Canis lupus familiaris: one gene and its partner. The main gene of each other region encodes a partner of the protein of the gene in region 2 in a complex. Links are inferred from orthologs where the notes say so. Each region holds a gene or a part of one and is shown on either strand. Other genes may lie near its edges.

Region 1 (3,812 bases), on a different chromosome or scaffold from region 2:
AGATAGGGGAGGGGTGGCTTCTCTGACCTCGGCAGGACTGCTGGCTTGGCTATGGCCTCAGGTGTGGGTAGCTTCAGTCCAGGAGGCCTAGGGGCCACAGAAGGCACGAAGAGTCTGGGCTTGACCACCTCCTCTGAGGGGGCCTCTTCAGCCATCTTTAGGAACCTGGGCTTATTGGCTGGCACCGGTGGAGGCTCGGGTGTCGGCGGCCCCCGGGGGGACAGATGAAAGGACTTCAGCTTGTCACAGTTCCTGGAGGAGGTGGTGGCCATGCTGGCAGAGCTGGAGACAGAGCCAGTCCCGTGGCCAGGCACTCGGGGCTCTGAGCTAGGGCTGGCACTCTCATGGAAACAAGGGGGTTTCCGGAGGCTGGGCACAGGTGGCAGGTGGCCTACTGGGGGGTCACTCATCCTCCGGGGGGCCACAGACACCCTGAGGCCAGCCTCTGGCCGCCTCAGGCCCAGCAGGTCCCTCTTGGAGTCCTCAGAAGTCAGGCTGGCATCAGGGAGGCCACGCTTAGGGGGCGGGGGTGGCAGCAGAGGGCTGGGGCCCTTGGAAGCAAAGGAGTGAGCACGGGGCATGTCAGAGAAGGCTGGCTTCCTGGGTGTGGGCACAGGAGGCGGGGGGTAGGCCGGAGGGTGGGTCAGGGTGTCTGCGGAGTAAAGAGACCCAGTCAGTGCACAGGTGTCACCTGCTGGAGGCTGGGCCACCACCACTGACCTGCGCCACCTTCCCTTCCTCAGCCACCCCCTACCAGCAGCCCACACAAGCTCCCTGAGCCATCAGCTTCCCGGAAGCAGAAATGAGAGAGAAGAGGCAAGGGGACTCTTAGGACTTCGCTTCCGCTGGGGGAAGCTATAATTCCCAGGGACAGAGCTGAGGAGGAAGGATGGGAGCAGGTCGGGAGGTAGAAGGTGGTTGTGTCTGCTGATGTCGCAGGACACACTGAAAGGGTGCCAAGTGCGCTGTTGGGGCACAGGTGTGAGGTTCAGAGGAGAGGTGCTGGCTGGAGTCCCCAGGCTGTCCGTGACACTGGCTGTCCCAGTGACCTGAGGCTGCCGGGAGAGGAGTGAACACGGCCTGAGTCCTGGGGTGGCCTGGCTCGTGCTGATGGCACTGAGTGAGGTGGGAGGGGCCTGGAGCAGAAGGTACCTCTGCAAAGTGCTGCATGTGAGAGTGGGGACACCACTGGAACCCTAATGAGATGTTTTGGGGAGGGAAGGAAGCCTGCTTGGAGTGGGGACTCAGAAGGGTGGGGAGGGGGGTGGGGGGGCCATGTGCAGGAGCACTGGCCCCGGAGGCCAAGAGAGGCCCCTAAGTGTTCATCTCTAGCCACATATGACCGCAGTTCAGGGTGGGACAGATGGACACGAGATGGAGCCATGGGCCTTGTGCTGGGGGGGAAGTTGAGGCACATGGCCCGCAGGTCCTGGTGGTGTCCCCAGAGGGAAGGGGCCAGTAGGAGGGAAGGGGGCTGCACCTGCTGCATTTGACAGGGGAGGTGGGGTTGAATGACAGAAGAACAGGGTGGCTGGGGTAGAAGGACTGTCCCAAGTGCCCAGGACAGTGGAAAGGATTGTGGGATGGCAGGACAGAGACACGGCCCTCCCCCAGCTGACCCTGTGCTTGGCTGTGACACATGTACATGATGCCTGGTACATGGCTGCTCCCTTGCTTGGCCACTGGGTGGGAGTGGGTCAGTACCTGACAGGCTGGCCTGCAGGTGCTCTGGAGAGCCATCAGCCACAGGCGGGAGGCCCTGCCCTGGCCCCACCCACTCCTTAGGGTCCCTCCTTCCCCACTCTCAGCCCCCAGGACCACCACTAGCTCAGCATCACACATGCAGCACCCCCACCTCACACATTTGGAAATCACCTCCCCCCTCCGACCCGGGCCAGCTGCAAAGGCAGGAGGACAAGGTGAACAGAGCCAGCCAAAGCATACATCTCTTTTGTTCTGTCCCTCCTAAAACCTGGGCCACGACAGGGAAACTGAGGCCACCCAGAGCAGTAGTCAGGCTGGCACTCCCAGCCTGGGAGGGGCCCTACCTGGGTTCCACCCCCAGGAGCCTACCAGGCTCACAAGTTGCCCACCTACCCTCGGGCTCCACAGGCTCCGGGGAGTCAGGCTCCATGTATGAGTCGTCTTCATCCTCATGCTCGTAGTCTGAGGCGGATAGAGGGTCAGACCCCAGGCAGCCCAGGCCCAGCTGCACCCAAGAGTGATGGGGCAGGGGCCCTCAGAACACTGGGAGCCAGGACTCAGGGGGGGCACAGGGCAGGGTATGAACCCAGGACCTAGGCTGCCTCTCCTCCTTGGCAGGGGAGGGTATGCAGAGGTGGGGGGACAGGGTATGCAGAGACAGGCCTTACCTTCATTGTCTGTGGGGTATGAAGAAAGGCTGATGTCCACAGGTCGCTCGACTGCACCATAGAAGCTGTCCGTGTCTGAGCTAGAGTCACTGAAGCTGGGGCAGGGGTGGGGCAGTGAGCACTGGGTAGGGGTAGCTCCTCTGCACTCACACATACAGATACACATGCACACCCTTGGCTGTGTGACACATGCACACAGACACAGACACATGCACAAACACGACACACAGAGACACACAGGCATATTCAGAGCTAGACACGAAGTAAGACTCATGCTCAAACAAGCTCCTCATGAGTGATAAAAACAGACCAAGGGACTGGAGGCCTGGTGCCTCCCTGCCACTGCCCTGCCTTGCCAGATGGTGCCAGCCCTCAGGGCTCCCCCAATACCCCACCTACCCTGCCCTGGGGGCTGCCATCAACACTGAACTGAGCTGTTCAGGGTACAGGGCCAGGGAGCTTTGGGGTCAGGCAGGCATCTGTGGCCAAGGCCTCCGTCTCAGCTCCAAAAGGACAGGATGGCTTCTGTTCCTGCCCAGAGGACCTCTGCTGCCTGCTGGGCCTCCTCTCAGTGAGGTCACCGACGCCCAGAGGGACTGAGCCAGTGCCCCAAGGACCCGCTCGCTCCCCTCTCTGTCCCAGGTGGGCCCAGGTGAGCATCAGGGGACTGGGAAGCGAAAGCTCTGAGCTGCTGCAAATGCTGGGCCTCCTACGTGGGCAGGCAGGGTCATGTGGGACCCCTGAGCTGAAACTACCAAGGGGTGTGTGTGGGGGCACACACACACGCACAAACACACACACACGCACACAGCCTGGCTGGCACCTTCTGGGAACACTTCAAGGGAAGGCAGACACGCATGTGAAGCCCAGTTGCCCTGGTGACACCCCACCCACCCCTCCCATGCGCAGGCACACCTGGTGTCCAGGGACAACTCCTTCTTTTCATGGAAGTGCCCAATCTCCTTCCGCAACAAGGCCATCCAGCTCTGTGGGTCAGGCAGGGTCGTAGTGGGTGTACTGCTGCCTTGGGCAGGGTCTGCCCAGGCTGGTCCACACGAAGGTCAGGGAGATACCCTCATGGGCCCTCGGCCTACTCAGAGCTCCACCCAGGACAGCTTCTGAGTGCGTGGTGTTGCTGCCAGGCCCTGGGCTTCAGGAGGAGCACTGAGGCACAGCACCCACCCAGCCCCATGTCCCTGCCACATCCCTTCACTGGCCCTGTCAGCTCCCCACTCCTGAAGGCAGGCTCACCTTGCGCTCATCCTCAGAGGAGGCCGAGAAAAACCACGTGCGGTGCTTCTTGCTGATGTGGACGATTTTGAAGGGGAAGACGTTGTTGGACGTCGTCTCTTCAGCTGCCCGCATCACCCTAGGGACACAGAGTCTGCCATCACCACCCAGTCAGCACCGCCTGGATGGGTCCTGGCACCCAGCACCCAC
Region 2 (3,812 bases):
AGAATGTCTCACCCTCCTTTTTCTCCAAACTAGAGGCACCCTCTGTTCCACTTGAACTAACTACTGAAGACAGTTCAGAAAAACTCCCAGATAAGTTGTCAAGACTGCTGGCTGCAGAAAGACTTGATGGGCTGGATGGACCTGAAGACAGAGCATCGCCGGTAGCTCCTGGGCTTCTCACGCCATTGAGCACTTGAGGTTTATAACATGAAGGCAGAGCAGAAGGGGGCATGGCTGCTGTCAAGAGAGCGCTAACATCATCTGCCTGGTGTGGGTCAGAGAGAAATTAAATCTGTGATAAGCCAAGTTTTAAAATTCTCCTATACCCAACAGAACGCATTTAAAAATATGACAAAAACTCAGCAGATTTGCACTAGAGTTGCATATTATATAAAAATGATTATTTCAAAAGTAAAACAAGTGATATCCAGTCAAACTGTTACCAAATCTAAAATAATTCAGAAAATCTGTTCAAAGACACAGAAAATTAAAAAAAAAAAACCCTGTTAAATGTAGCAAAGCATAAAAAAACCTAACTTTGATACTATGATATTCTGAAAAACACTGAAATGAGCTATAGTAATATCAATTTTAAAAGGTAAGAAAATTTTAACACTAATGCAATTATTCTGGAAGAAGTAATTCAATCTACATGGAACTTCAGTAAACAATGACTTGTTTATATTTCTTGGAAAATATTCAGTGATATATTTGCTCCTTAAAATTGAATGGGGGGAGTGAGATCATCATTTTAATAAAATCAGCTAGCATGGAAAAAAAAATCCCCAAATTTACTAGTATATTAATTTGTTTAATTACTGATATATACTATTTTTTTCACAATGCTCAATTAAGACCCTAACTAATTAATAGCAAGAAGTAAATCAGTACTTGTTTTCATGACTAGTCATGGATACAGTCTCTTCTAATCCTTACCTTTTTCCTACCAGAGTCTGAGGACTTCCACAGCACTCACAGCTTGTAGGTAACATTTTAAAATAATAGCACGATCTGTTGGGTGCTTTTTATGTATTTGCTATCATACCTGGGACTTCAAGTACATTACCTCATTTAAATTTCATATTAACTAGACATATACATACACACATGTATGTATCTTAAAGATTTCATTTTTAAGTAATCTCTACACCCAGTGTGGAGCCCTAACTCACAAGCCCAAGATCAAGAGTAGCATGCTTTTCTGACAGTCAGCCAGGTGGCCCTTAACCAGACATATTTTGCCCCCATTTGTAGATGACTAGGCAAGGTGAAAGAGTGTGCAACTCTAAGTGGCAGAGCTGGAATTCTAAGGCAGGTCTGTTTGACCCTAAAGTCCACACCTGTTCTCTAGAGCCCTTTGTTTCATGTCAATTATGTCTGGTGGATGAACAAATGGGTGGAATGAATTAGAAAAGTATACTTCCAAAGTATTTTGGAACTAGAAAGACTTTTCCCTGAAGAAATACTGCAAATACTGTTGGGTTGTCAGCCTGCTGAGAAAAATCTATTTAACCCCCAATGCAGCTGAACTAAATCAGCTTCTCAGTGTAATCTGTAACAGTGGAATCTCTCTCAGGAGAAAGCAGTATGTAAAAGACACTTCCCTTCCCATCTGAACAAGAATTTCTTCTCCCTTTTCCTCCAATGCCCTGGTCAATTTCACAGTCGTAAAGGCAAGAGAGACACCTATGTCACAGTGGCCAAGGCAGAGGCTACAATGGAGATGCCTACATGAGTTCCCTTGGGAGAAGGAAAAAACCAAAACCAAACAAACTTCATAGAAAACTGGAGGAACAAGCTTGTTTCACAAATACTTTCGGTGAGATAAGTGAGGAACAGGAACTTTGGGAAGAGGCAGTCTGGGAGGGAAGGGAATCCCTACTATAAGCTGGTTTTATGGCTGCACTTTGAGAGCAATGTCCCTGACTGGGAAGGTTCATCATATGTCCTCTATGACTCTGCATAGTACACACCATAATAGCTTTCACTGAGGGCCTGCGCCTGTTTTGTTTCCCAACTAATAACATAAGCAGCAATACCATACACTTCTTTTTCCTATTTCTAAAAGCACCCCGGATACAATAACTGATTGATAATCTTATTATTTACATATTATATTTTAACGCCAAAGATGTCCTACATTTAGACTGGGCTAAAATAGATTTTGCCACATTTACCATGAAGACATTTTATATCTACCAAGTGAACTTTAAAAAGTCAGAAAGCAATGAGATTTTTCAAAGAGTCCATCACTTACTGAAACTAAATCTAAAGGCGTTTGTCCTTCCTGATTTTTAAGAGTAGGGTCAGCTCCATGGGCCAGCAATAAAGCACAAAGCTGTGTTCGTCCCTTTTGGGCTGCTTCATGCAAAGGTGTAAAAGCCCACTTGTCCGTGGCATTGACACATGCATTATACTTTATTAGTAAAGCTGCTACATCTACATGCTGTAAAAGAAAATATTCCTGTTACAGTCTGAAATATTACCACATTTTAGTTCCCAAGAAGAAACTTACTATATACCTATTTTTCCATATTTTCAAACCTGTTCTGGAAATGAAAAACTGTGTTGCTCCCAAACATAATTTATGGGTAGCTGATTAAAAATTACAGATGTTTTAGTAACTTGAGAATTTAAGAATTCTATACCGGATGGGAACCAAATAAATGAATACAACTTAAATAACTTCTCATTTATTCAAGTTTTATAACTGCTAAACATCGATTTATAAATCAGCAACCTTTCTCAGTTATTCCAATTATACGACTGAAGCTGGCCAATATTGATTATAACATTTTAGGGTCATTATAAACTCAGGAACAACGCATCTGAAACTCTACAGACTCCTAGGAGTCCTAGTGGGTATCCTTCCTGGCATCAACAAATAAACAAAACTATCTTACTGAAGATAAGAGATGGTAAAGAAGGTAATACAACGAATGACAAATGTGCTGCATGTCACACAGCTAGCTTACAACAAAATCAGAATTGAGACCTGGACATTACTTAATCTCTTTAGTCCTCATATTTACTCCTCTAAAAAATGAAAAAGTCAAGCTAAATGCCCCCCCCCCTTTTAAGATTTTATTTATTCATTCATGAGAGACACAGAGAAAGAGAGGCAGAGACACAGGCAGAGGGACAAGCAGGCTCCATACAGGGAGCCCGACGTGGGACTCGATTCCAGGTCTCCAGGATCACGCCCTGGGCTGAAGGCAGTGCTAAACCGCTGAGCCACCTGGGCTGCCCCCTAAATGCCCTTTGAATTGCAATACTGATTTCCACTTTGAAAATTTCAGAGATTTTAAAGGTAATAGGAAAGAACTTACCCCATAAGATGCTGCATTATGTAAAGGAATAAGTCCTCCTTTGTCTTGGGCATTCACATCAGCTCCATGTTGTAACAAATATTCTGCAACTTCTAAATTATTATAACCAGCTAATTTAGAAAAGAAGTAAAATTACTTCTACTTAATATAAAAATAGTTACATCTATGTATCTGTATATACCTGTATAAGAAACACAGACATTCTTTAAAAAAATAAAGAGATTTTATAGAAATCTGATATCCCCCACTGGACTATTAAGATTTTATTTTATGGAAAAAATTGCCTACTGGTCTCAAGGTGGAAGGTTTCAGTGATGATACTCATTTATTCCAGAAACTCTCAAAAGTTGTAGACTGATTTGCTGTATCTTTCCTTTTAAAATCTTCTACCGAAGTCTTTGCCCTTATGATTGTTAAATGCAACTTCCTGAACTCAGGTACATGGTCTCAAGGGCCACAAGTAGAAGGCATTCAAACATATAA

What was found.
Region 1: the proteins of TNKS2 (region 2) and SH3BP2 are in contact, whole or in part, in a crystal structure (PDB 3TWR), measured with the Homo sapiens proteins. The link is inferred for Canis lupus familiaris from reciprocal best matches to the Homo sapiens genes TNKS2 and SH3BP2. Residues at the interface, in NP_079511.1 of Homo sapiens: Arg525, Ser527, His531, Phe532, Gly535, Tyr536, Asn537, Arg538, Leu560, Asn565, Ser568, Tyr569, His571, Asp589, Trp591, Phe593, Glu598, Lys604; in NP_001116153.1 of Homo sapiens: Leu413, Gln414, Arg415, Ser416, Pro417, Pro418, Asp419, Gly420, Gln421, Ser422, Arg424.

Annotation. Positions count from the first base shown.
Region 1 is NC_049224.1:61,990,608-61,994,419, forward strand, and holds part of SH3BP2 (SH3 domain-binding protein 2), read right to left. Parts: intron 3,742-3,812; coding exon 3,624-3,741; intron 3,359-3,623; coding exon 3,288-3,358; intron 2,468-3,287; coding exon 2,373-2,467; intron 2,210-2,372; coding exon of another isoform or gene 2,167-2,209; coding exon 2,098-2,166; intron 653-2,097; coding exon 1-652. UniProt on the Homo sapiens protein: Binds differentially to the SH3 domains of certain proteins of signal transduction pathways. Binds to phosphatidylinositols; linking the hemopoietic tyrosine kinase fes to the cytoplasmic membrane in a phosphorylation dependent mechanism.
Region 2 is NC_049249.1:6,508,538-6,512,349, reverse strand, and holds part of TNKS2 (poly [ADP-ribose] polymerase tankyrase-2), read right to left. Parts: intron 3,440-3,812; coding exon 3,330-3,439; intron 2,447-3,329; coding exon 2,258-2,446; intron 266-2,257; coding exon 13-265; intron 1-12. UniProt on the Homo sapiens protein: Poly-ADP-ribosyltransferase involved in various processes such as Wnt signaling pathway, telomere length and vesicle trafficking.